Elephas maximus indicus: one gene and its partner. The protein of the gene in region 1 purifies or fractionates together with the protein of each later gene. This does not show direct contact. Links are inferred from orthologs where the notes say so. Each region holds a gene or a part of one and is shown on either strand. Other genes may lie near its edges.

What was found.
Region 2: the proteins of POP4 (region 1) and RPP14 purify together in Homo sapiens (affinity purification with mass spectrometry; 3 studies listed by BioGRID and IntAct, counting the BioPlex papers as one, with this or other methods). This does not show direct contact. The link is inferred for Elephas maximus indicus from reciprocal best matches to the Homo sapiens genes POP4 and RPP14.

Annotation. Positions count from the first base shown.
Region 1 is NC_064839.1:11,352,871-11,364,050, reverse strand, and holds the start of POP4 (ribonuclease P protein subunit p29), read right to left. Parts: upstream 5,014-11,180; 5' UTR 4,787-5,013; coding exon 4,780-4,786; intron 1-4,779. UniProt on the Homo sapiens protein: Component of ribonuclease P, a ribonucleoprotein complex that generates mature tRNA molecules by cleaving their 5'-ends.
Region 2 is NC_064838.1:62,909,241-62,920,987, reverse strand, and holds the start of RPP14 (ribonuclease P protein subunit p14), read right to left. Parts: upstream 4,688-11,747; 5' UTR 4,453-4,687; intron 4,447-4,452; exon of another isoform or gene 4,261-4,446; intron 4,255-4,260; exon of another isoform or gene 2,257-4,254; intron 1,298-2,256; 5' UTR 1,286-1,297; coding exon 1,200-1,285; intron 1,101-1,199; coding exon 1,016-1,100; intron 1-1,015. Other genes in the region: monoacylglycerol lipase ABHD6, read right to left, coding at 11,111-11,287. UniProt on the Homo sapiens protein: Component of ribonuclease P, a ribonucleoprotein complex that generates mature tRNA molecules by cleaving their 5'-ends.

The DNA of each region.
Region 1 (11,180 bases):
TTGTATTTTATTTTGATGAGTAGGATAGTTTGTCTCCTTTGTGGTTACCTTATTATTTACCCTTATTTTTCTAAATTTATAACTTTTATTTCTTTGTACGGCCATATCTTCCTCTCCATATGGAAGTTGCATGATTACATTTCTTAGTCCCTCTTTATTATTTTAATGTTTTCTTCTTTTATATGATAACATTGTCGTTACCCTGTGTTGGGCTTTTTTTTTTTTTTTTGGATTTCCCTGTCTGGGTTGACTTCTGGTTGCTCTGCCCCGTGTTCTAGTCTTGGGTCAATACCTGCTATTATTGATTTTCTAACCAAAGAACTCCCTTTAGTATTTCTTGTAGTTTTGGTTTGATTTTTACGAATTCCTCAACTTGTGTTTATCTGGAAATGTCTTAATTTCACCTTTAAATTTAAGTGACAGTTTTGGTGGATATTTGATTCTTGGCAGGCAATTTTTTTCCTTCAATTTTTTAAATATGTCATCCCATTGCCTTCTTGCCTGCATGGTTTCTGCCGAGTAGTCCGAGCTTAATTCTTATTGGCGCTCCCTTGTAGGTGACTTTCCTTTCATTCCTCGCTGCTCTTATAATTGGGTCCTTATCTTTGGTTTTGGCAAGCTTGATTATAATATGTCTTGGTGACTTTCTTTTAACATCTACCTTATGTGGAGTTCGATGAGCATCTTGGGTAGATATCTTCTTATCTTTCACGATAGCAGGGAAGTTTTCTGCCAACAAATCCTCAACAATTTTCTCTGTATTTTCTGTTATCCCTTCCTGTTCTGGTACTCCAATGACTCTTAGGTTATTTCTCTTGATAGAGTCCCACATGATTCTTAGGGGTTCTTCATTTTTTAAAATTCTTTTATGTGATTTTTCTTCAGATACGTTAGTGCCAAGTGACTTATCTTCGAGTTCAGAAATTCTATCTTCTACTTGCTCATTTCTTCTCCTCTGACTTTCTACTGAGTTATCTAATTCTGTAATTTTATTGTTAATCTTCTGAATTTCTGATTGCTGTCTGTCTATGGATTTTTCCAGCTTATTAAACTTTTCATTATGTTCCTGAATAATCTTTCTCATTTCTTCAATTGCTTTATCTGCGTGTTCCTTGGCTTGTTCTGTGTATTGCCTCATTTCCTTCCTGATGTCTTGAAGGGTTCTGTATATTAAACTTTTGTATTCTGCATCTGGTAATTTCAGAAATGCCCTTTCATCTAAAAGATCGTTGGATTTTTTGAAAGCCTGTTGAGGTGATCCTGGCCTGTTTCTTTATGTGACTTGATATTGACTGTTGTCTCCGAGCCATCTATAAGTTATTGTATTACTTTATGCTTGCTTACTGTGTCGTAGCTGCTTGCTTTGTTTTGTTTTGGTATACCCCTATGGGTTGCTTGAGTGAGCTAGCTTGATTATTTTCGCCTTTGGAGCTCTGGTGTCCTGTCCCCAGCTGGCTAGAGCTGTTATCAGGTATATCAGTCTAGGAGTCCATTCAGTTTTCTTGTATGAATTCAGCTCAGGTTTCCAGGTAGGTGATATCAAGTGTGTGGTACAGGCTCTGTCCTACAGTCTTAGAGGGGCAGGGGTGATTGGCGTATATATCTGCATCTGATTGCAGCAGGAGGTCACGCTCTGAACAAGGCAGGGGCTGAGAGCCGACCCCCAAGTGTCTCTAAGGAATACGCATCTCTGCTCCCTAGAGCGTGCTGGTGGGTGGGCTCTGCAGAGGGACCACGGGCACCCAAAGATTTTGTTGTAAGGACTGGGAGGTACCAGTTATCCCTGGGCCCCTGTCGTGGGTGGCTGGGTGACCCAAGTGGAGCCAGCAGTCCTTAGGTCCCTGTTGTGGGTAGATGAGGACCTTGTTCAATAGCCAAAGCAATGTCAAATGTCAAACACCCACCTCTCCAGTGCACCGATGAAATGGTTGGAGTTTGCCAACAAGGGCCTATTTTCCCGAAATAGGCCCACACAGGTCCATGCAGAAGAGAAAGGTGCTCAAGGTCCACAGTTTATGCCTGGGCAGGAGCCACTTCTGTCCTGAGCTCCCCCCATTAATGGAGCTAACAAATTTTCTTTTCCCCCCAGTTGGAAATTTTTTCCTTCCCCAAGGCCAGGAGGACGGCTCCAGGTGTTCACCAGGGTCTATCTGAGGCCCAGGGATTCAGCTGCTGAAGCTGGCCTGGGGGCGCGGGGGGCATGGTAAAATATACGCAAGTACTTAGCTTTTGCCGAGAGCGCCCTTCTGCTCAGGTTCAGGAGGTGTGAGGGGGCTGTGTAGCTGGCTGCTTCTCCCTATGGAAACTACGGCCGAATGCTAGGACCAGCCTACCGCCGCCGCTGCTCCAGGAATGGTGCCTGAGGGCTCCCTGCGATTCAGGGCCCGGAACTCCTCTCCGCTTCTGAATGGTCTCTTCCTTCCCCTGCCCCTCGGTTCGTTGTCTAAGCTTGCCTTTGATTCTCAGGGCTCCCAGCTTGTGACAAATATACTCATTTCCCTTGTTTTTTCGGGTCTCTGTTGTAAAGAGGGCTCCACGGAAGCGTCTGTCTATTAGGCCATCTTGGCTCCGCCTCCTCCAGAGCCTGTATTTCTAACAAGCTTCCAGACGCTACGGCAGGTCAGGGGACCACGCTTTATGAGAGGCATGGTTTAAAATACCATAGGTTAGAAGCTTGAGCAGTTGCTCAATATGCCTACTGAAGTAACTCATTTAAGTCACGGGAAATTGCTGTCCAGGACACAGATGGGTGGAAACACAGTCAATCCTCGTTACTCACGGATTCCGTATTTGTGAATTCACCTACTTGCTAAAATTTATTTGTAAACCCAAAATTAATACTCGTGGTGCTTTTGCAGTCATTTGTGGACACGTGAAGAGCAGCGAAAAATCTCAGTCATCTGAGGCTCACATCTCCAGCTGTGGTTGAACAAAGCGACACTCTGCCTCCTTGTTTTAGCTCTCATACTGCATCCTTTTCATGATCTATTTAGTGGCACATGTTTCACATTCGTGTGGTTTTTGTTGGCCCCCAAGTGTAGTGCTGAAGTTCAGTCAGGTGTTCCCAAGTGCGAGGAGGGTGTGATGTCCCCCATGGAGAAAATACGTGTGTCAGACACGCAGGGAGTTATAGTTCATGAATTACAGTTATCGTGCTGCCGGCCATGAGTTCAATGTTAATGAAACATACATAAAACAAAGTTAGGTACTGATCAGCCGACAAAATGTGACCACAGGATTACGGGAACCTAGCCTCGTAGCTCCCCTGGGAACTACGATTCAGCATTCCCTAACTGAGGGTTTGAGGTGACTTTATTGAACATTTAAAAGAAAAAAAAAACTCATTGCTGTTGAGTTGATTCTGATTCATAGTGACCCTAGAGGACAGAGTAGAATTGCCCCATAGAGTTTCCAAGGAGCGCCTGGTGGATTCAAACTGCTGACCTTTCGGTTAGCAACCATATGTCTTAACCACTATGCCACCAGGGTTTCCTTATTGAACATAACTACCTCGAATAATTAGAACTGACTGTACTATCTTTTGGTGATTGTAAGATTAAAAAAAAATGTTTTTCACATTTTAACATCTAGGAAGTTGCAATGTGTCATATAATTGATGGTGTCCTAGAACTGATGACACAGTCATTCTTTAAACTCAAAGTGTATGTTGATTAATGTGGTTTCAACCTCTAAATATGTCCACGCTCCTGTTTCTTACCTCATTTGTCTCAGTAGAAAACTGTGGCATTGGAGGCAGAATATGGATGCGAATGGAGTAAGAGCAAGACACAGGCTTGGCTTAAGGGCCAAATGACTAGACATCTTGGTTTGCACTACACTCTATAAATTCTATCCCTGTTCCCTTGTGCTTCCCTGGGTTCATGTTTGAACGGTCAGGCCAAGGTGGTTACAGGTTTTATATACGGGGTCTAGTTCTCCCTCATATGGGAGATGGGGATTATAACCTGTTTGTAGAGCCTGGGACCCCAGGAATCATCAGCTTTGCTTTACCTGTCACAAGTGTTTAGCAGGAGACTTGAAAGTCTTTTCTGCAATCATACACAACAAAGTGTAACTGAGCACTCATTACTTGCCAGCACCTGATTAGAAGCTACAAGTTTTATTTCATTAATTTTCAAACTACCCTTTAAAGCAGTTATTATGCATGTTATGCCCATGAGAAAATTGACGTTCAGGTTTAACTTGATCACACAGGTAGGAGTGGGAGAGGTGGACCTCAAAATCCTGACCCGAAGCCCAGCCTCAGCAGTGTCTACACTCATTTGCCTATAATCGCCTTGGGTGCTTCTTTCCTCCTTCGCTCATCTCTCCTCTGCTGGATTCCCAACGCCTTAGGTTAGTGACATACTTCCCCAGCAGGATCCCAGCGCTTTACACCTGACAAGGATCGTTCACGGCAGGCTGGGCAGGTATCAACATCAGTACCTTACCGAAGGCGAAACCAGGCCACAGAGAGGAGGAAGTAGTTGATTACTGTCACCCAGAGGAGGGGTGGCCAAGTCTGACCAAAGCTTTGGAGCCTCCACCAGCATGACACACCAACGAGCAGCCCGCCTGGAGAACCTGCCTCCAGCTCAGACATCAAGCCCGCACTCCGGGACTCGGTTTCTCCTAAGTAAGGTGGGACAATTTCCGTAGCAGCTCCGTTCGGACTCTGCAGCGACAGGTAGCCCAGAACCATGTTCCCTACCAGCACCAAGTCCCCGACCCTTTATATTCCCACCCTTCTCCGATTTCGTGGCCCCGAGCCCCGCTTACTCTTCATTCTCGAATCTCTTCCGGTGCGCTGTGATGACGTCTCCCTCAGGCGCCGCTCACTCCTCTCTCCACTTTCTTCAGCAGCGGTCGGCACCCAAAGCCTCTCTCGTCAAAGTTTGCGGCGGACAGGATCCTTCTGCCGGGGCTGCGCGGGACGCGTCACCGAGAGACTGACACGCTCCCACCTGCAGCAAGAGTCAGACGCACTCGGGGATCGGAGATGGCGCCTCTCGTGACGTCACTGACGCACGCCGACGTAGGGTGGCGCATGCGCCTCGGCGCCGCTTCGGCGGCCGGGAAACGTAGTAGCAGCTCCGGTTCTTGTAGCCTTTTCAGGTCGTGGTGCACGTAGGCCGGGGCAGCCAGGATTAGTAGGGTTGTGGAATGCCTGCTGAGGTCTGAGGCAGAGCCGGGCGAGAGGATAAGAGGGAGACTGGGGACCCGGAGAGGGCAGACATGGGACGGGGGTGTTGATGATGGGAATGGCGTCTACGGGGCCCGCAGTCAGTGCTCTCTGTAGACCAGCCAGGTGGCAGCCACTGGGGGCTAGGGACGCTGACCTGAAATAAGCAGCTTAGCCTCTAGTTCTGTCTCTGCTGCTAACTAGCTGTATCATCTCGCTTAAGGTACTCCCCGTCTCTGGGCCTCACTTTTCCTATCTGTCCTGTGAATGGAGTCGGACTCGATGGTCTCTAGAGCTTTTTTTTCTCTCAGTTTTTTTTTTTTTAATTTTTATTGTGCTTTAAGTGCAAGTTTACAAATCAAGTCAGTCTGTCATACAAAAGTGTATACACAGCTTGCTGTCTACCCCTAATTGTTCTCCCCGTAATGAGACAGCACACTCCTTCCCTCCATTCTGTCTTTTCCTGTCCATTCTGCCAGTTTCTGACCCACTCTGCCCTCCTGTCTCCCCTCCAGATAGGAGATGGCAAGGTAGTCTTATGTCTACTTGATCCAAGAAGCTCATTCTTCACCAGTATCATTTTCTATCCCGTTGTCCAGTCCAATCCCTGCCTGAAGAGTTGGCTTTGGGAATGGTTTCTGTCTTGGGCTAAGAGAAGGTCTGGGGGCTGTGACCACCAGGGTCCTTCTAGTCTCAGTCAGACCATTAAGTCTGGTCTTTTATACAAGAATTTGGGGTCTGTGTCCCACTGCTCTCCTGCTCCCTCAGGGGTTCTCTGTTGTGCTCCTTGTCAGAGCAGTAATCTGTTGTAGCTGGGCACCATCTAGTTCTTCTGGTTTCAGGCTGACATAGGGTCTGGTTTATGTGGCCCTTTCTCTGAGTGCTTTTGTGAGACCCTTTGGGAGAGGGTCCAAGTGTGACAGGAAATCCTGGTACTGACCCCTCAGAAGTGCCCTGGTACTGTCCAGAACTGTGGCTTAATTTCTTCAAAGTGCTGGGTCTGGGCTGGGTGCAGTGCGGGAGAGCAGAGCACTGTTCTTCCTTCCACCAAGGCTGTTCAGGACGCACCACCTGCAGAGTGACAGGCTCCTACATGTAGCTGGGGTGGAGGCATTCTGAATCAGTGGTTTTCAACCTTGAGTGCTGTATAAACCCCTTTTCCAAAACCAAAAAACCAAACCCGCTGCCACTGAGTCGATTCCGACTCATAGCGACCCTACGGGGGGAAAAAATGCTCAGGGAACCCTGAGAATATGTCCACAGACCACAACTTGAGAAACATTGCCTTCAAAACTTCCTCGGTTGGTGACTGGTGCAATTTAGATCTTGAAGACAGGCCCTGAAATGGAGTGGCAGTTAGATGGCTTATCCAGATATATAGGCTATTGTCAAGTTGGCAACATCATTTAAACAAACATTTGCTGAACTTGCAGATGCCTTGAATAGTTAGGAGTCTGTGGGAGTTTGAAGAAGTCCTTTTGGGGATCCATTCAATGTTGTTGGACAAGTGTGAACTTTGAGATAGCAGTGTGAGACAGCAGGAAATAGAAACAATTTCAGTGTTACAGCCTCAAGAGTAGCTCCCAGTAGAAGGTGGTCCTCTGTTTTTGATAGCGTCTTTCCTAGGTTTATAGGACTCTTAACTCCCAGTTGACCCTTTCTCAAGTAGCCGAGGCCGCACTGGATGACTGCCAGTTTTTGTTAGATTTTTGGTCTTAGTGTGTTGGGGTGGCGGAATGGGCAGTCCTGGAGCTGCAGTTATGCTGTGGTCACCTGGCTAGTAAAGTTTTTTTTTAAAAAGCAAACAGAACACTCTATTGTCTTCAGAAATAATTATGTACATATATACCCTGTAAGGGTATTTGTGATTGTCATCTATAATAGCAGAAACCTGGAAACAACCTGATATCCACCCATAGTGGATTAGGTCAGTGAAGTTTGTGCAAATTAGTTAGGTGGGTTAATTAAATGACTGCATTACAATCACGGGGGAAGAGCCCTTGGCCTCATCCCTAAAAAAAAACAACAAAACCAAACCCATAGTGACCCTATAGGACAGAGTAGTACTGCCCCATAGGGTTTCCAAGGCTGTGAACTTTATGGAAGCAGACTGCCACATCTTCCTCCCACAGAGCAGCTGGTGGGTTTGAACCACTGACCTTTTGTTCAGTAGCTGAACCCTTAACCACTGCTCCACCAGGGCTCCTTAGTTTATCCAATAGCCTGTGATAATACAGTGGAAAAGTATTCTTTCTGCAGCCTTTCCTCTGCTTTTGGAGCAGAGAAAAATATTATTTCTAGTAGCATTTCCTGCTGGTCCTTTAAGTATAAAGAAAGGTAATGATCCTGAAGAAATACCAGCAAACCTGCAGTGAGAATACGGAAGGCTTTTGCAATGCAATGGACCACTTTTATGTGGCCTTTCTTGCCCTGGTCTTGGACTCCCACCAAGTGACTGGGTGGGACTGGGCAAATAAGGTGTTGATGACCCACCTAGGGGATTGGATAGCTTGGTAATAATGCAAGTAAGGTGCATGACACCCTTGTGGGGGTGTGACCATACACATAAGGTGTGTGGAACCCTAATGAGGGTATTGGTCAATTTTGCCATCCCACTAGGCTTAAAATGAGCCATCCCAGAGGCAGAAAGGGGCGACCTTACTATCACCAAGAAAAAGAGATAGGAATGGGTCATGTCCTTTGGACCCAGAGTCCTTGTGCTGAGAACCTCCTAGATCCAGGAGACAGAAAGAGCTGTAACACCAGAGACGGCACATGATGACGAGAATCAGTGGCAGCAGAACCAGGAGACCAGTGCAAGATGGCACAGTGAGCTTCCTGGCCCATGGAGCAAGGTAGTTGCAGTGGCTGTGCTGAGGGAGAGAGCTGAGTGCCTTCAGGCAGGAGGCTTCCTGGCAGAGTGGATTACCCCGGTACTTACTGGTGGATCTAAAGAGCTCCTTAACACCTGCCTGAGCAGGGCAGAGGCTGGGCCAAGGGCCAAAGAGAGGCCTGTCTGTGGGCATGGCTGAGAAGAGGCTGTCCTGGTCAGAGAACTATGTCCTGAGTGTTCCTGATCCTGAGTTGTCACCTGTTACCTCCCAAATAGCCCCACAGTCGTGAGTATTACCTGTGAGTTCTGTGTGGCCATTGCAACAAATTATCAAACCCAGCAGAGAAGTAGAGAGTGCCGTGGGAGGGACGGCTGGTGTCAGAATTGATAAAGAAGTTGGAGGGTAGAGACATGTCTGACCTCTTCCTTATAGCAGTCAGCCTGGGGCTGTTGATCTTGATTTCCTCCCCAGCCCTTGTGAAGTTCGGGAAGGTCAGATGCCACCCCCGCTCCATGCCATTTTTACAGCTTTGTCTTTGGTGAAAGCTGAAATCGTCCAAATTAGAAATGTCGACTATATTATATATGCCGCACATATAAAATATATTTATATAAAAATATATAAAGGATAATTATATATATGTGTATGTGTGTGTGTGTGTGTGTGTGTGTGTGTTTTAAATAAACATTTGAAAGGGAAGAGGCCTTTGCTGCTTTTCTCCAACAAGAAGGTCTGGTGCCTGTGTGATTAAGTTCTTGTATGTAAAACGAGGTTGACAACAGGACCTGCTGTGGAATGGGATGGGATGTTGATGGTGGGAGCAGGGTCTGGGGCCCCTAGTCAGCGTTCTCTACAGATCAGCCGAGGTAGCACCCACTGTGCGGCAGCAGCACTGGACTTGGAATAGGCGGCTTAGCTTCCAGTTCTGTTTCTGCTGCTAACTATCCATGTGACATAGTGGCTTGGAGCACTCTGAGGTGCTGTGCATGGTAAAACGGCCTGGCACAGACAGCACACTTTAAGAGAAGATAGCCACCCTGGCCTGCATCTTCACGAAGATGGAGCAGTACCCAAAACTCAAGGTTATAAGCTCCCTTGCTCTTGCTTTGCCCTTGATATTTACCCTGGTCCAGGAACGGTGTTGGCTTGACAAGCTAAGCTGGGTGTCTCAGGGGTGGATGTTCAAACACCTGGACGTGGTGGCGCCAGCAATCATTCTTTGGGTTCCATAGCGCTGTGGGCGACTATCCCCTCAGAGAAGAGGCAGTCAGGGGCTAGTCCAAAAACTGGCCCTTTCTGCCGGGTGGTGTATTTTCTGGCCATGGGAATCAAAGGCCTGAAGTTGGCAGAGGCCCACATATTGACCTTCTGGTCCAAAGGCAGCACCGCACCCTAATCTCCAAGTCCCAGGAACAGCAAATGTCAGTTTAAGACAACCGTTTGGATTCTGAAAAGCCAGAACCATAACACTTGGTATATCTGGTATTTCAGCCCCCGAAATCCAAATTTCCCCAGTCTTCTGACCTGCAGGAGTCACTCTTTGAGGCCACCTTGGTCCTAAATGTGTAAAATACAATTATAATAGAGTCCAGTTCCCTGAGGGGCTCTACTCACCTGGCCCATCGAGGTGAGCGTGGCTTTGGCCTGCATGGGTGGAGTGTTTGGGTGACATGAGGCTCTTGGGGTCATAAGTGATTTCCTTCAGTGTATGTATGGGGTCATTCCTCAGGCACCTGAGGGGTCTGCAGGCTGTAGGGGACATGAATCCCACCCACACTTCCTCTCACCTGTTCTGACCTGCCTTTGACTTTGAGGAAGCCTCCAGTGGTGTGAGATCTGTGTGTTTACCTGTTAGTCCATTCTGGCCCCAGATATGGGCAAGCGAGAGGGAGAAAGCTGATGGGAAATCACTCTGAACTGGAATGGGGACAGGGGTGGAGGCAAAGAGATCTTGCTTTTCTGTGCTTGGATCCCAAAGCCTTCAAGACAGCTGAAGCCAGAGGGGACCAGAAACTATTTAAACCTGCAACTGACTGGTTGACCCCTGATTCAGTGACGCCACCGGCTGCTCAGCATCACTGCCCGGCGGAGGAAAAGGTGTGCCCTTCCTGGGAGGCGGAGATACCTTTGTTCTTCTCCAGTCTCTACTGTTCTTTAACACACAACATCCAGCTTACGTTAAAAAATAACATAACACAAAGAAACAGAAGACTATGACCTGTAATAAAGAGAAGCAACCAATTGCCAGAACAGAACCACAGATGACGCAGATGTTTGAGCCGGGCCTCAGAAATAGCTGTTAGTGATAGGTCAAATAACTTAGAGGAGAAGAGGTTCGGAGTGGGTGAATGGATACGGAATTGCAGCAGAGAAATGGAAGTTCCAGCACTGAAAGATCCTCTCAGTGTTCTTTGTGGTGGCAAGTGCCTGCCTGCTCAAACTTAACAATTTCAAAGTGCTGAGAGCACTTCTCAGACCACACCCACTCTTCCCTTTCAATCACCTGATAAATATTTATTGAGTTCCCACAAGACCTGAGGACTGTCAGTTTAATGAAGCAAGCCCTAGTGGCGTGGTGGTTAAGAGCTCAGCTGCTAACCAGAAGGTCAGCAGTTCGAATCCACCAGCTGCTCCTTGGAAACCCTATGGGGCAGTTCTGCTCTGTCCTATAGGGTCGCAATGAGTCAGAATCGACTCAACAGCATCGGGTTTGTTTAATGAAGGGAGCCTTGGGACTCTTTGCTGCCTCCTGCAGCCCTAGGAGGGAGGTGGTCCTGGGAAACTGTTCTCTCTGGGCCCTGAGGGCCACTGCACACTGCCTGGAGCCCTGTGCAGAGTTTCCACCTCTGAATAGCTGGCCCTTGGGAGCCATCAGCTGGAGAAGGCTCCATAACAGGTCTGGGCCCTGAATCACTTTCTGGCTCCTCAGTGCTGAGGCCAGTCCTCATCAGTGAGGCCCCTTCCCTGCCTGTGGATGGATGCCTGGTACCTGGGGGACTGGCCCCAGCCTCATGCAGGGTGCTGGTCTGTGGGGTGGTCAGGCCTGGGACAGGGCAGGCAGTCCTCTGTGTGAGCTGCTTCTGGGAGCATGGTCCTCTATTCCTCTCAGATCTGGGGGCTCAGTGGGACCCCCAGGTTTGAGAATCAGGAGCTCTGAGAGTATT
Region 2 (11,747 bases), on another chromosome or scaffold:
AGGACCCCGTGCCTCCACAGGCTCCCAAGACATGCTGCTCTCACTACTTTCAGCTCAGCCATTCTGGCAAATGCACAGTGACAGCTCACTGCTGCAGTCTGCACTTCTCTAGTGGCTGGTGATGGTGAACACCTCATGTATTTACTTGCCGTCTATATATCCTCTTTGGTGAAACGTCTGTTCGTGTCTTTTGCCCATTTTCTAATTGACTGTTTGGTTTTTCATTGTTGGGTTTTAAGGGTTCCTCCTATATTCTACATATTAGTCATCTGTCAAATGTGTGACCTGCAAATATTTTCTCCCAGTCTGTAATTCAACTTTTCATCTGTTTAACAATCTTTCGCAGAGTAAAAATTTTGATGAGGTGCTCAGCATATCTGACGAAATGTGTGAATTTCCAGAGAATTCTTCATCGTTCTCTGTCTAGACTTCTAAAACTCCACTTCTGTTTTCAAGGGAATGCTAGAACGATACTCCTCAAAGTGCTTGTCTATGACAAGGATCTTGTACCAGAATGTCAACCAACAACATCACGAAGCAAGCACCCTGCTTAGTCCAGCCTTTTCCTAAGATGACTTTCTTTCAAAAGGAAGCGGTGCAAGCCCCTCATGAGGGGAAGAGAACGGTTTGTGCCTTGCTAGTCTGGATGACACTTTGAGTAGCACTGTGCTGGAATGAGCACTTGCCTAACAAGCTCCTGTCTAAATAGAAAGCATATTAGAACAAGTCTACCAAAAACGCACCCTTTCTGAAAGTCGGCTTCTGTATTCCAAATACTGTTTTTAAATAAAGTTTTGAAGAGTTCTTTCTGTATTTCTTACAAAGACCTTAAAACCCACTGCCATTGAGTCGATTCCGACTCAGCGACCCTAGAGAACAGAGTAGAACTACCCCATAGAGTTCCCAAGGAGCGCCTGGTGGATTCAAACTGCTGACCTTTTGGTTAGCAGCCGTAGCACTTAGCCACTACGCACAAAGACCTTAGGAATGGTCAATCTACAAAGTCATTCCATACCTCCCCGAACAGGTCCTTCAAAGCCAAAATAAGCAACTGTTTGAACTGTGCAGCATTCAGTCCAATCCCATGTTCCTGAAATTCTCTGTGGAAAAAAAAAAAGAAAAAAATACATACGATTAGATTTCACGATCTTCAGACTCAACAAAGCAATCTAAAACAGAACTTGGGGGACTGAACTTACAGGCGGACTTTCATGTAGTGGTGCTCAGAGGGATTTTTGTAAACTATTCTTTCATATGTGGCAGGTGATGCTGGTATCCTTTCCATTGCTGATCACACCTACAGTAAGAGTCAAAAGGACTAGAAATTATCAAGGTATGAGCTATTTTCACATTTTTAATGAGAATTTGGAGCACTGGTGGTGCAATGGTTAAGAGCTCAGCAGCTAACCAAAAGGTCTGCTGTTTGAATTCACCAGCCGCTCCTTGGAAACCCTACGGGACAGTTCTACTCTGTCCTATAGGGTCACAATGAGTTAGAATCAACTTGATGGCAATGGGTTTTTGATTTTAACAAGAACTTGACCTATGTTTTTAAAACACCTCCTAGTACAGTAGCTCTTCTAATTCTGGTCAAATTAAGGTTATACATACAGACATTAACGAAGTCTCCATATTTCACACAAGCCAGACCACCATACTCTTAAACCCTAATAACACCCTTCCTGTTTTTTTTTTTTTTTTTTACTGAGCACTCAGCTCTGTGCTAAATGCTTACCTCATTTCTCTTCAAAATGATCCTACAAGGTAAATGCTATTATAACCCTCATTTCGAGAAAAGAAAACTAAGGCTTAGGTAACACTTGCCCAAGGGCGCCGAGGTTCCAACCATTCCTGAGTCCCCTCAGGATCACTCTGATATGATGTCTCTTAATCAAAGTAAAAAGCCCAAGCAAGTAAAACCAGGGCTCTTAAGGCCCTCTTGTTACTCCCAGCCAACACAGAACATGAAGAGGAGAATGAGGGGTGGCAGTTCTGCTGTCCCTGCCCATCCTCGGTCTGCCTGTTTTTTTAGTCTGCTTGTCCCAGGCCAGTCTGTGCAGGACTATTTGGCAGGCCAGTGAAAGGGGTTTGAGAAGGGATTCCTGGAATGGGAACTCAATGCCATTTCTAATGAATCTGGAATCTTCAAGGACTTAGACATGCTGGTTCACCTGGAGAGAATTCCTCTTCTTGGCTCTACTCCCACCTCACTCTCCACCTGGACAGCTCTTACTAATCCTTTTGGTTTTGACTTACGTGTCACCTCTTCAGGGAGGCCTTCTCTTCTTCACTGATGTTTCACCAGCACCACCAGATCCTCAGTAAACGTTTGCTGAGCGATGCAAGGAACCCCTGGTGGTGTAGTGGTTAACAGCTACAGCTGCTAACCAAAAGGCGGGCAGTTCGAACCCACCAGGCGCTCCTTGGAAGCCATATGTGGCAGTTCTACTCTGTCCTATAGAGTCGCTATGAGAACAGATTTTTTTTTTTTTTTTTGGTTTGAGTGAAAGAAATGGACAGTACCCTGGTTCTTCCCAAGACCTGTTCTAGGCCTTTACTCCAAATTAATAAAACCGGACCATATCAAACAGCAAAGACTAGAAGCACCCTTAGTGATCATCCAGCCTGACACTGCTACTTTGTAGACCAGGAAACTGAGGTCAACCAAGTGCCTTCTCCTTGGTCACACCACTATGGACTAAACCAAAACCAAACCAAACCCAGTGCCGTCGAGTCAATTCCGATTTACAGCGACCCTATAGGACAGAGTAGAACTGCCCCACAGAGTCTCCAAGGAGCGCCTGGCAGATTTGAACTGCCGACCCTTTGGTTAGCAGCAGTAGCACTTAACCGATACGCCACCAAGGTTTCCCCACTATGGAGTAGCAGGCACAAAAACCCCTCCAGGTCAGGCCCAGGTGCAACCGCGCCCTGATAATGAGCTCCAGAGAAAAATGAAAAGTCAGGATCAAAGCGCTACATCCACCCATCTATTCCACAAACACTAATATTCACGATGCCTAGCACAGAAGCAGTATTTAACAAACACCTGTCAACTGACTAAACCAGTGAATGGTGGTAGTGGTAGGCCTATGCGTTCAGGTTAAGTCTTTGGTTTCAGGACAACAGCAATAGTTGCCTAGTGCTTTGCTTTCCCAGTCACTACAGCCTCCCCTGACTAGATGAGCAGGGAAAAAAGAACCTCACCTGTCTCATTCATTGCTTGGCACATAACAGAAAAAAAAAAATTTTTTTTTCTTGTATTGTTAAAGCGTTAATGACTGTGCTGATGGAGATGGATGCCGGTGGCAGGGATAAGCATAGGTAGAACTTAAAGAGTAAACGTTCACTGAGCAGTCACTTCTCCATAAGCCTTGGTCCTCAGGCTCAGTGACAGCACGGCCCTCTGAGGACTGTCCTGAGATTAAATGAGACAATGCCTGGGAAGTGCGCCATAGAGCCTGGCATATCCACCACACTAACCAGGAAAAGTAAGCGCTCCTATAGTGACTGCCATCCCCATCTTTAGAAGTCAGCCTTTTTAATGACCGCAGGGATGCTCTTGAACTTATCTATTCCTAATACGTGGCCTCGCCTCACTCCTGTTCTCCCCAATCTATTCCCTACAGCAGCCAGAAACGATTCTAACAAAACTTACTCACACCACTCATTCCTCTGCTCAAAACCTTGCACTGGTTGCCGCTTCACTCTGAATAAATAAGGCCACACTCCTTACAGAGACCAACAAGGCCCCACCTGAACTGCACGCTGCTCCCCCGGCTCGGACCTCACTTTCTGTCGTTCTCCCCCTTGCTCGCTCCCTCCCGCCACACCGGTCTCCAGCTCCTCTAGGTTTCGGCTCTAGCTCTTCCCTGGGCCGGAAATGCTCTCCTTCCAGGTGTCACATGGCTCATGCCCTCGTCTCCTTCACAGGTTTGCTCAAACCTCACTCCTCAATTTGACCGAGTGGCCATCCTAATACCGCGAGCACCCCCTGTCCCTGTCCTTGCTCTATTCTTCTTTCCTCACGGTACTTACCGCCATCTAACACAATCGTGTAATTCACCTCCTCTTTATTTGTACTCCCCTTCCCTGCCCCAAAAACTACGCTCCAGAAAAGATAAAGAGCTTCCTGTCTTGTTCACTCCTGTCTCCCAAGAACCTAAAACCGTGCGTCGTACACAACAAAAAGCGTTCAACACACAGTTTTTGGATAAACCAGCTATTAAGAAAAAAAAAACTAACCACCCGATCCCGTACTTTTTTCGACTAACGCACTGATTTAGCGCCGACCTCGTGCCAGGTGCAGGCAGCGTGCTCTGCACACGCGCTCCTGCTCGATCCTCCCGGCCACCTCCCCGCGGTGTCCGCCGAAGGGGACAAGTCGGGACCTGCGGCGGCCCCGCACCGCCCACCAGCCCGGCCCGTGGCTCCCGCCCAGCGCGTGCGCACCTGGCGCGCGCGACCAGGCGTCAGCAGCGCGGCCGACTGAGCCGCTCCCGTGGTTTGGCCGCTGGCCCTCGGGGCTTCCGCCCACCCGCTCTCCGTCTGCCTGGCCTCGCCTGGCGCCTCCCCGGACGCTTCCTGTTCGCTGCGAAAATCTGCCACAGCTCGGGGTGCCCACGCAGAACACAGAGCCGGGGCCGAGGAAACTCCGGGCGTGTTTACATTTGCTTTCCTCTGTCCCTTCCCCCGGATGCGAGACGTCCCGGCACGGATGTGACGTCATCGTGACGTCACCCTAAGGACCCCGGCATAAGTTCTCATGAGGCGTTGGGACGGCCGAGCTCAGCGCCCCCTGGTGCCCATCGCGGGGAAAGCAGTGAGCGCAAACGCTCTATTCCATCCCTCTAGCTGGGAGCTGCTCGTTTGAGGCAACCCTGAGCTGCATCTCCAAATATGAAACTCTGAAAAGCAGGCTGTCCTTTGAGTTAGAGTCCCTAGAAAACCCGTATCCATCGAGTCGATTCCGAGTTATAGCGACCCTATATGACAAAGTAGAACTAGTCCAATAGAGTTTCCAAGGACCGGGGGTTGGATTAGTAGCCAAATTCGTAGCCACTGCGCCACCAGGCACTGATTTAAGGTAAAGCCATCTTTTTTTTTTCACTGTCCTTTCAGTGAAAGTTTACAGGTTTCAAGTTAGTTTCTATTACAAAGATTTATACAGACATTCTTACGTGAGCCTAGTTGCTCTCCCTATAATGTGACAGCACACTCTTCCTTTCCACCCCGCATTTCCCATGTCCATTCAACCCCCTCTGCCTTCTTATCTCATCTCTGGACAGGAGCTGCCCATTTAGTCTCCTGTATCTACTTGAGCTAAGAAGCACTCTCCTCATGAGTATCATTTTATGTCTTATAGTGCAGTATAATCTTTGTCAGAAGAGTTGGCTTCAGGAATGGTTTCAGTTCTGGGCTAACAGAGTCTGGGGACCATGTCTTCCAGGGTCCCTCCAGTCTCAATCAGACCATTAAGTTCGGTCTTTTTACGTGAATTTGAGTTCTGCACCCCACTTTTCTCCTGCTCTGTCAGGGACTCTCTGTTGTGTACCCTGTCAGGGCGGTCATTGGTGGTAGCCAGGCACCATCTAGTTCTTTTGGTCTCAGGTTGATGGAGTCTCTGGTTTATGTGGCCCTTCTCTTTCTTGGGCTCATATTTTCCTTATGTCTTTGGTGTTCTTCATTTTCCTTTGCTCCAGGTGGATTGGGACCAGTTGATGCATCTTAGATGGCTGCTAGCTAACTTTTAAGACCCCGGACGCCAAGTGGGATGCAGAATATTTTCTTAATGAACTTTGTTATGCCAGTTGACCTAGAAGTCCCCCGAAACCATGGTCCCCAGACCCCCGCCCCTGCTACTCTGTCTGAGGGCATCATTTTAATAAAATAATGTGAAATAAAAATAAGGACCTGCCCCTTACTGTCACAAGAGGGCACTCTGGGCCACCCCTCTGCATGCCCTTCCTTCCACTGGCAAGAAGCACTCTTCATCAGGACGCAGAATGAGGGAGGCAACTGTGAACACAGGCTTATCACCTCTTATCTGCAAGTCTGAAATCCAAAAAAGCCTGGAAGCCAAAGCTGTCTTCATTTGACGTCAGTACTCAACCTGAACTGAGGGAGACTTTTTATAGTGTTTGTCCTACTTACTGTGGATAGTCATACATTGCACAGCAGAAAAATGAATGCATTTGATCATGTAAGGCTGCCCCAGACCCCACTGGGGGTGTTACATAATATATGGTACACATACCATAATACCTTCCTAAAACTGGAAGATTTCTGAATTCTGAGTCACATCTGGTCCTGAGGGTTTTGGGACCTCTATTCAAAGTTAACATTTGGCAGTTGTCTCTCCAGTTGTTCTCAGCGACAGTTACCCACCCCCCAGCCAGCCTTGACCTCGGGGTCATTGAGACTATCACCTAGGTGCCACTTTCTGCCCCTAAGAATACTTCCTTCTCATCCCACTCCCTGCGGGAGCTCAGAGGCCTCCTAGGTGTGGACTATGGTTCCCATTCATTGCTTGCAGGGTTTAGAGGCCAAAGATTCAGAAACCAATTAAGGAAATTTCCCTTTAGGAGCCAAGGGAAGAGAACCGTCCTGTTCCTGAAAGGAGAGCTGAGCAGTCAGTCAGCCATGCTCTTTTCCCTGACTAGGCAAAAACCTTGTCCTATTGCTGGCACGGACACCCCAGATCCACATTCTGGGTGTTTCCAGTCTGGAGAATGGCGACTCCAGGCCCCAGACCTCTGGGGCAGCTAGGTATACCAAAACAGGAGCCCCAGAACTCTCCCCTTTGGGTTTGACTCTGGCAGGTAGTTTATGACATCTCCACTGCCCCATTTGTGGCTATATTCTCACCCCCCACCCCGAAAAAAACCAAACTTTTGTATCTGCCTCACTGAAGGGAATTGAGAGGTTTTGAGAGCAGCATCCAATCTGGGTTGGAGGGGAGGCTGATGGGAAAATCCAGGCTGTGTGGTCACAGGAGTGGCACTGGAAGAGATAAAAGATGATGCGTTGGTAGAGCCAGCGTTCCCGTTGTTAGGGGGTAGGGTGCCTGAGTGTGGCATGAGAGACAGACAAAACAGAGACAAACAAAAATGGAAAGAGACCAAGAGAATGGAAGAAAAAACAAAACTCCCAAATCTGACCAAAGCGTCTTTCAGCAAGCCCATTTCTGAAACAGACCCACTGAGTTGCCACTTTTAATAAAAGGCTTCTCAGCCTAATACAAGGAGGTCCCCCAAAGCAGAACACACTTCACTGTGGATGTTAAAATCTGCATTCATCATTTTAGAAAGATGTTATTAACTAACCAGTCCATGATTATCTTGAGATCGGTATTTAGGGCTTGGGAAGTATATAAGGGGGCCTAAGTCTGGCATTTATGTTTAATTAAACCCCCAAATTTGCCTAAAGGCAGTGGGTATGCACTTGGCTGGTAAGAGTCCAGGCTGTTGACCTTTCTCTTCAAAGGCCACGTGTCTCCAAGCGTGCTTTTCACACTTGGCCTCCTGACGGGCAATGAGACCCAGCTGAGACTTCTCCCCAGGGAAACTGCTTTGGACAAACAGTGCGGATTGTAATTTCCAGAGCATGGGGTGTGTGTGTGCGGGGGGGGGGGGGTGTGGGTGTGGGTGTGGGTGTGTGTGTGTAGGGGTATCAGTGAGGGGAACAAGCCACACCAGTCCTGATTGATGAGAGGCTGGAAAGAGGAAGGCAGGCTGTCCCCTGGTGCACCCTTAGGATGATGCTGGAATCCAGGTGAGCTGTTTCCTGCCTGGGCATGGGATGTCCTTAATTATTTGCAGAATGAATGACTGGATTGCCTTCCCCAGCAGGAGCCCAAGCCAAGAGGCATGGCCTTGGTGATGTTAGGCTAAAGCTGCTGCACACCAGCCTGAGCCAGGTGATCCTGGAGGGCTGTCTGTCCTGCTGACAGTGCTTCAGGCTCAACGGGTAAGATGGGCAGGAGGGTGCCTACCTGAACTGGTGAAAGTACTGTTTTTGTATGTCAATTATAAAGAGAGAAGCTTCCCTCTACTTGTCAGCTGTGTGATCTTGGGCAAGATACTTCACCTCTCCATGCCTTGGTTTCCATGGCTGTAAAATGGGCACAGGGTTGGCCTTACCTCCTAGGGCTGGGAGACAGCTTGGTGAGGTGATGCATGGAAAACACAGAATAGCACCTGGCACACAGTTGTGTGATTCAGTTCTCCATCCTGGCCTGACATGCATTCCAATCCCAGAATTTTCTGGGAACTTGCACCAGGCAACCAACATGTAAGGTTCCCTGGGATGGGAAATACTCACCGGGGCTCAAGTGGAAAGCATAGACTTACAGCCCAGGCAGCACTGCTGAACAGGGCAGCTGTCATTCCTGGTGTCACCTCTGTCTTGGACAACAAGTCCAGACTGATGGCAAATTGAGTTCTGACCACTGCTTGTCCCTTGGCCTCTTCAATACCTGTCCAGGTGAGTCCACCCTCCTAGGAGGCCCAACTCCAGGCAATGAGATCAAGAACCCAGTCGTGATTCCTGGGGCTTTGCATTGTTATTTGGGAATCTCCTGGAAGTCTTTCAGGGAGGGATGAAGCCTAAGACTATCATTAAAGGCACACACCATAGGGCCCAGTGGGGTGTGTGTGTTGGCAGGGGGCAGCTAGCTGGCAGTAACCAGCAAGCTGGTCATAATCACAAAGGCAGGAAATGGGGAGCAAGGGGGAGCTGTCCTTTTCTGCTTTCCAGTCTTCCTCTCACAGTGGAGCTGGAACTGCAGAGCCAAGGGAGAACCTTGAAAACCCACTTTAAGGCTTACCCCAAGATGACTCTTCCATATTCTCTGCTCATAACTCCAGTCAGTGTTTTCTGGTAATAGCAGAGGAGATGGGAGCTATATCCTGCTGCAGATCTGCCCACTGACTTCCACAGCTGGGTGGACAGCACACACCCTGCCTGAATGGTCCCTCTGTGGGGGCAAGGGAAGGCCTCCTGATGTGCTCCTTGGCTGTTATCCAACCCAGAACATAATAACTTTCCCCATAGCAGGGTTTCTGGTTTGCAGTACTTATACTAGTCTGCAGCTCTTTCAGTGGTCCTGAGGAGACCATCTCTCACCACTCATACCCACCAAGATGGACCACCTCTACCAGAACCTCACTCACCTCAGACTTCCTGTGAATATAGAAGGGTGAAACAAGCCTGGTATTGACTTTCTTTTCTCTTTCATTGATTTCTGCACTTACCTATATTATATCCTTCTATTTCCTTTAGGTTTGATTTCCTACTTCTTGAGATGGAAACTTAAAAGATCGACTTTGAGCCTTTCTTCTTTTCTAGTCTATGTATTTAGGCTATAAATTTCCCTCTGAGCACTGCTTTAGCTGTATCTTGCAACTCTGATATGTTTTCATCTTTTTGTTTTTTAAGATCTGTGTTCCACTCTTATAAATTAAAATATTCAGATTAAGCCCAGAATTCCTTTTTAAATGATAAAGTTCTTCTCGCTCTGTTTCCAGAACTACTTGGCTGTAGCCTCTCTGTAACAGGATTTGAAGGAATTAAGCTCCTGGGGCTGTTAGGGCAGAAACGGTAACTAAATGCAGCAGAAGATGGTCATAAGGAACAGTTGGGTGACTCTTGCCCTTTGTTTTGTGTTTTTTTTTTTTTTAACATTTTATTGTGCTTTTAGGTGAAAGTTTACAGAGCAAATTAGTTTCCCATTCAGTAATTTATACACAAGTTGTTTCGACCTTGGCTGCAATCCCCACAATGTGTCAGCACTCTTCCCCTCTCCACCCTGAAGTCCCCATTTCCATTTTTCTGATTTTCCTGCCCCTTCCTGTTTTCTCATCTTTGCCTTTGGCCAGGAGTTGCCCATTTGACCTCGTACACCTGATCGTTCTCTGAAGCATGTTCCTGACGTGTTACTCTGTTTCAGAGACCTGTCTAATCTTTGGCTGCAAGGTGGACTTGAGGAGTGGCTGACCTTTGCTTTTGTATGCATTTTCAACTGAATAAAAACTGCAAATGTGATTTCTTAAAAGGAAACTCATAAATCATCCAAGCCAAGACTTCCACTGCCTGGAGATCTAGCCTTACTTTAAAAAACACATTTTAACATTAAGAGCAAATCTGCCACCGCTGCACTCAATGAGGAGCTTCCATATAGAAACCATCTGCTTGTAGCTGATCTAGACTGAGCAAATTTATTCCATGTCATTGTGGTCACTTCTACAGCTGTTGGGACTTATTTTCAATCACGTTACTGTTCACAGAATTCACAGAATTCATAAACAAGCTAGTATTTTATATCCAAGGGCTTTCAGTAGCACAACAAAATAGAAAAGAGGCCCATGAGCTACTTGTGTGTAGAACCCCAATTTGATTTTTAGATAGATGTCTAGAACCTTATTGCTTTATTAGTCCTATTTTGAAAAATGATAAATTATTCCAGGAAACTCCCCCATCCAGTGTGCTTCATACTGCGTGACTGCTCCAGCTGCACTGGTGACACACTGGATGCGTGGGTGTCGAACACATCAACCACCTGTGGTCTCCACTGCTCCAGCAGCTCTGAGCATGGCCATTTCCCCCTGGTCCTGCAGCTGACGGGCTGCGTTCATTATGAGTCTCTGTGTAAAGCTGAAATCAGACATAAACAGTAGGGGCTCAATGAACACGCACTAATGCTTCTAGAACAGTCACTGACAGGCAGGGGAGCACTGAAGCAACAAATACATCAGGTTATCAGTCCGTAAAGGATGTTGGAAAGAAAGTATCCTCAGGGATTGTGGCCCAAGGTGGCTGCTTTGTGTAAGCTTTCCCATGACAAGAACTTGAAGACTTCTTGGTAGATTTTTATGGCTAAGTTTTCTTTTTTTGTTCCATATGATTTTCCATTTGTGAAGAACATCTTGGAGATTTCCTCAGGCCCCTGAAGATCTGCGGAACTGTAGGGACCAGGGAGAGGAGTCTAGCTTCTTCAGGGATGCTGGTGCTCCGACTGCATTTGGGGCAGGAACCCTGAGAAGTGGTGGCCACATCAGATTTTGCAGATGGGAGCGGGTGTGTGTGCGGAATGCAGGCTGCAGTCAGGGGCTCAGTCTAGCTTCTTCTTGTTGTCTGTGTTGTGCACAGATGTTAAAAAGTCAACGATGAGCTTGGCTGTCTTCCGGGGTCTCTCCATCACCACTGAGTGCCCACAGTTTTCCAGAAGTTCTACCTGGCAGTTGGCGATTGACTTGGCCAACATGCCTGCCCCAGCCACATCGAGCACCTGTGAGGCAAGAAGGGAAACTAGATGGCACATAGAGATTCAGATACCTAAGTGGGCTCTGAGGACAGAACGTCCACGGAGGTATGCCTGGGTGAATTCTAGACCAGGCCATGTTGAGGCTGGGACTTGGGGCTTCCTGATGGAAGGGACTGGCATACCTCATGGTTTATTCAGCAGCTAGTTACCAGGAATTGTGCTGCTGCCAGCAATACTGAAGTGAAAAGCACACAGTCCCCAACTGGGGAGGCTGTGGTCGGGCAGGGAAGCCAGACAAGACAGTAGACAAATGCAGCATTGAGAGCTGAGAGCACGCATCGAGGAGCAGGGAGGAGGGAAGGCATCATTCCTGAGTCCTGAGGAAGCCAAGAAGGAAGGAGGACTCATAGGAAAGAGAACGGCACCAGTGGGGTGGGGGGGGGGTGGGGGGATGGGGGGTGGTGGTGGTCATGGCTAGTGCAGA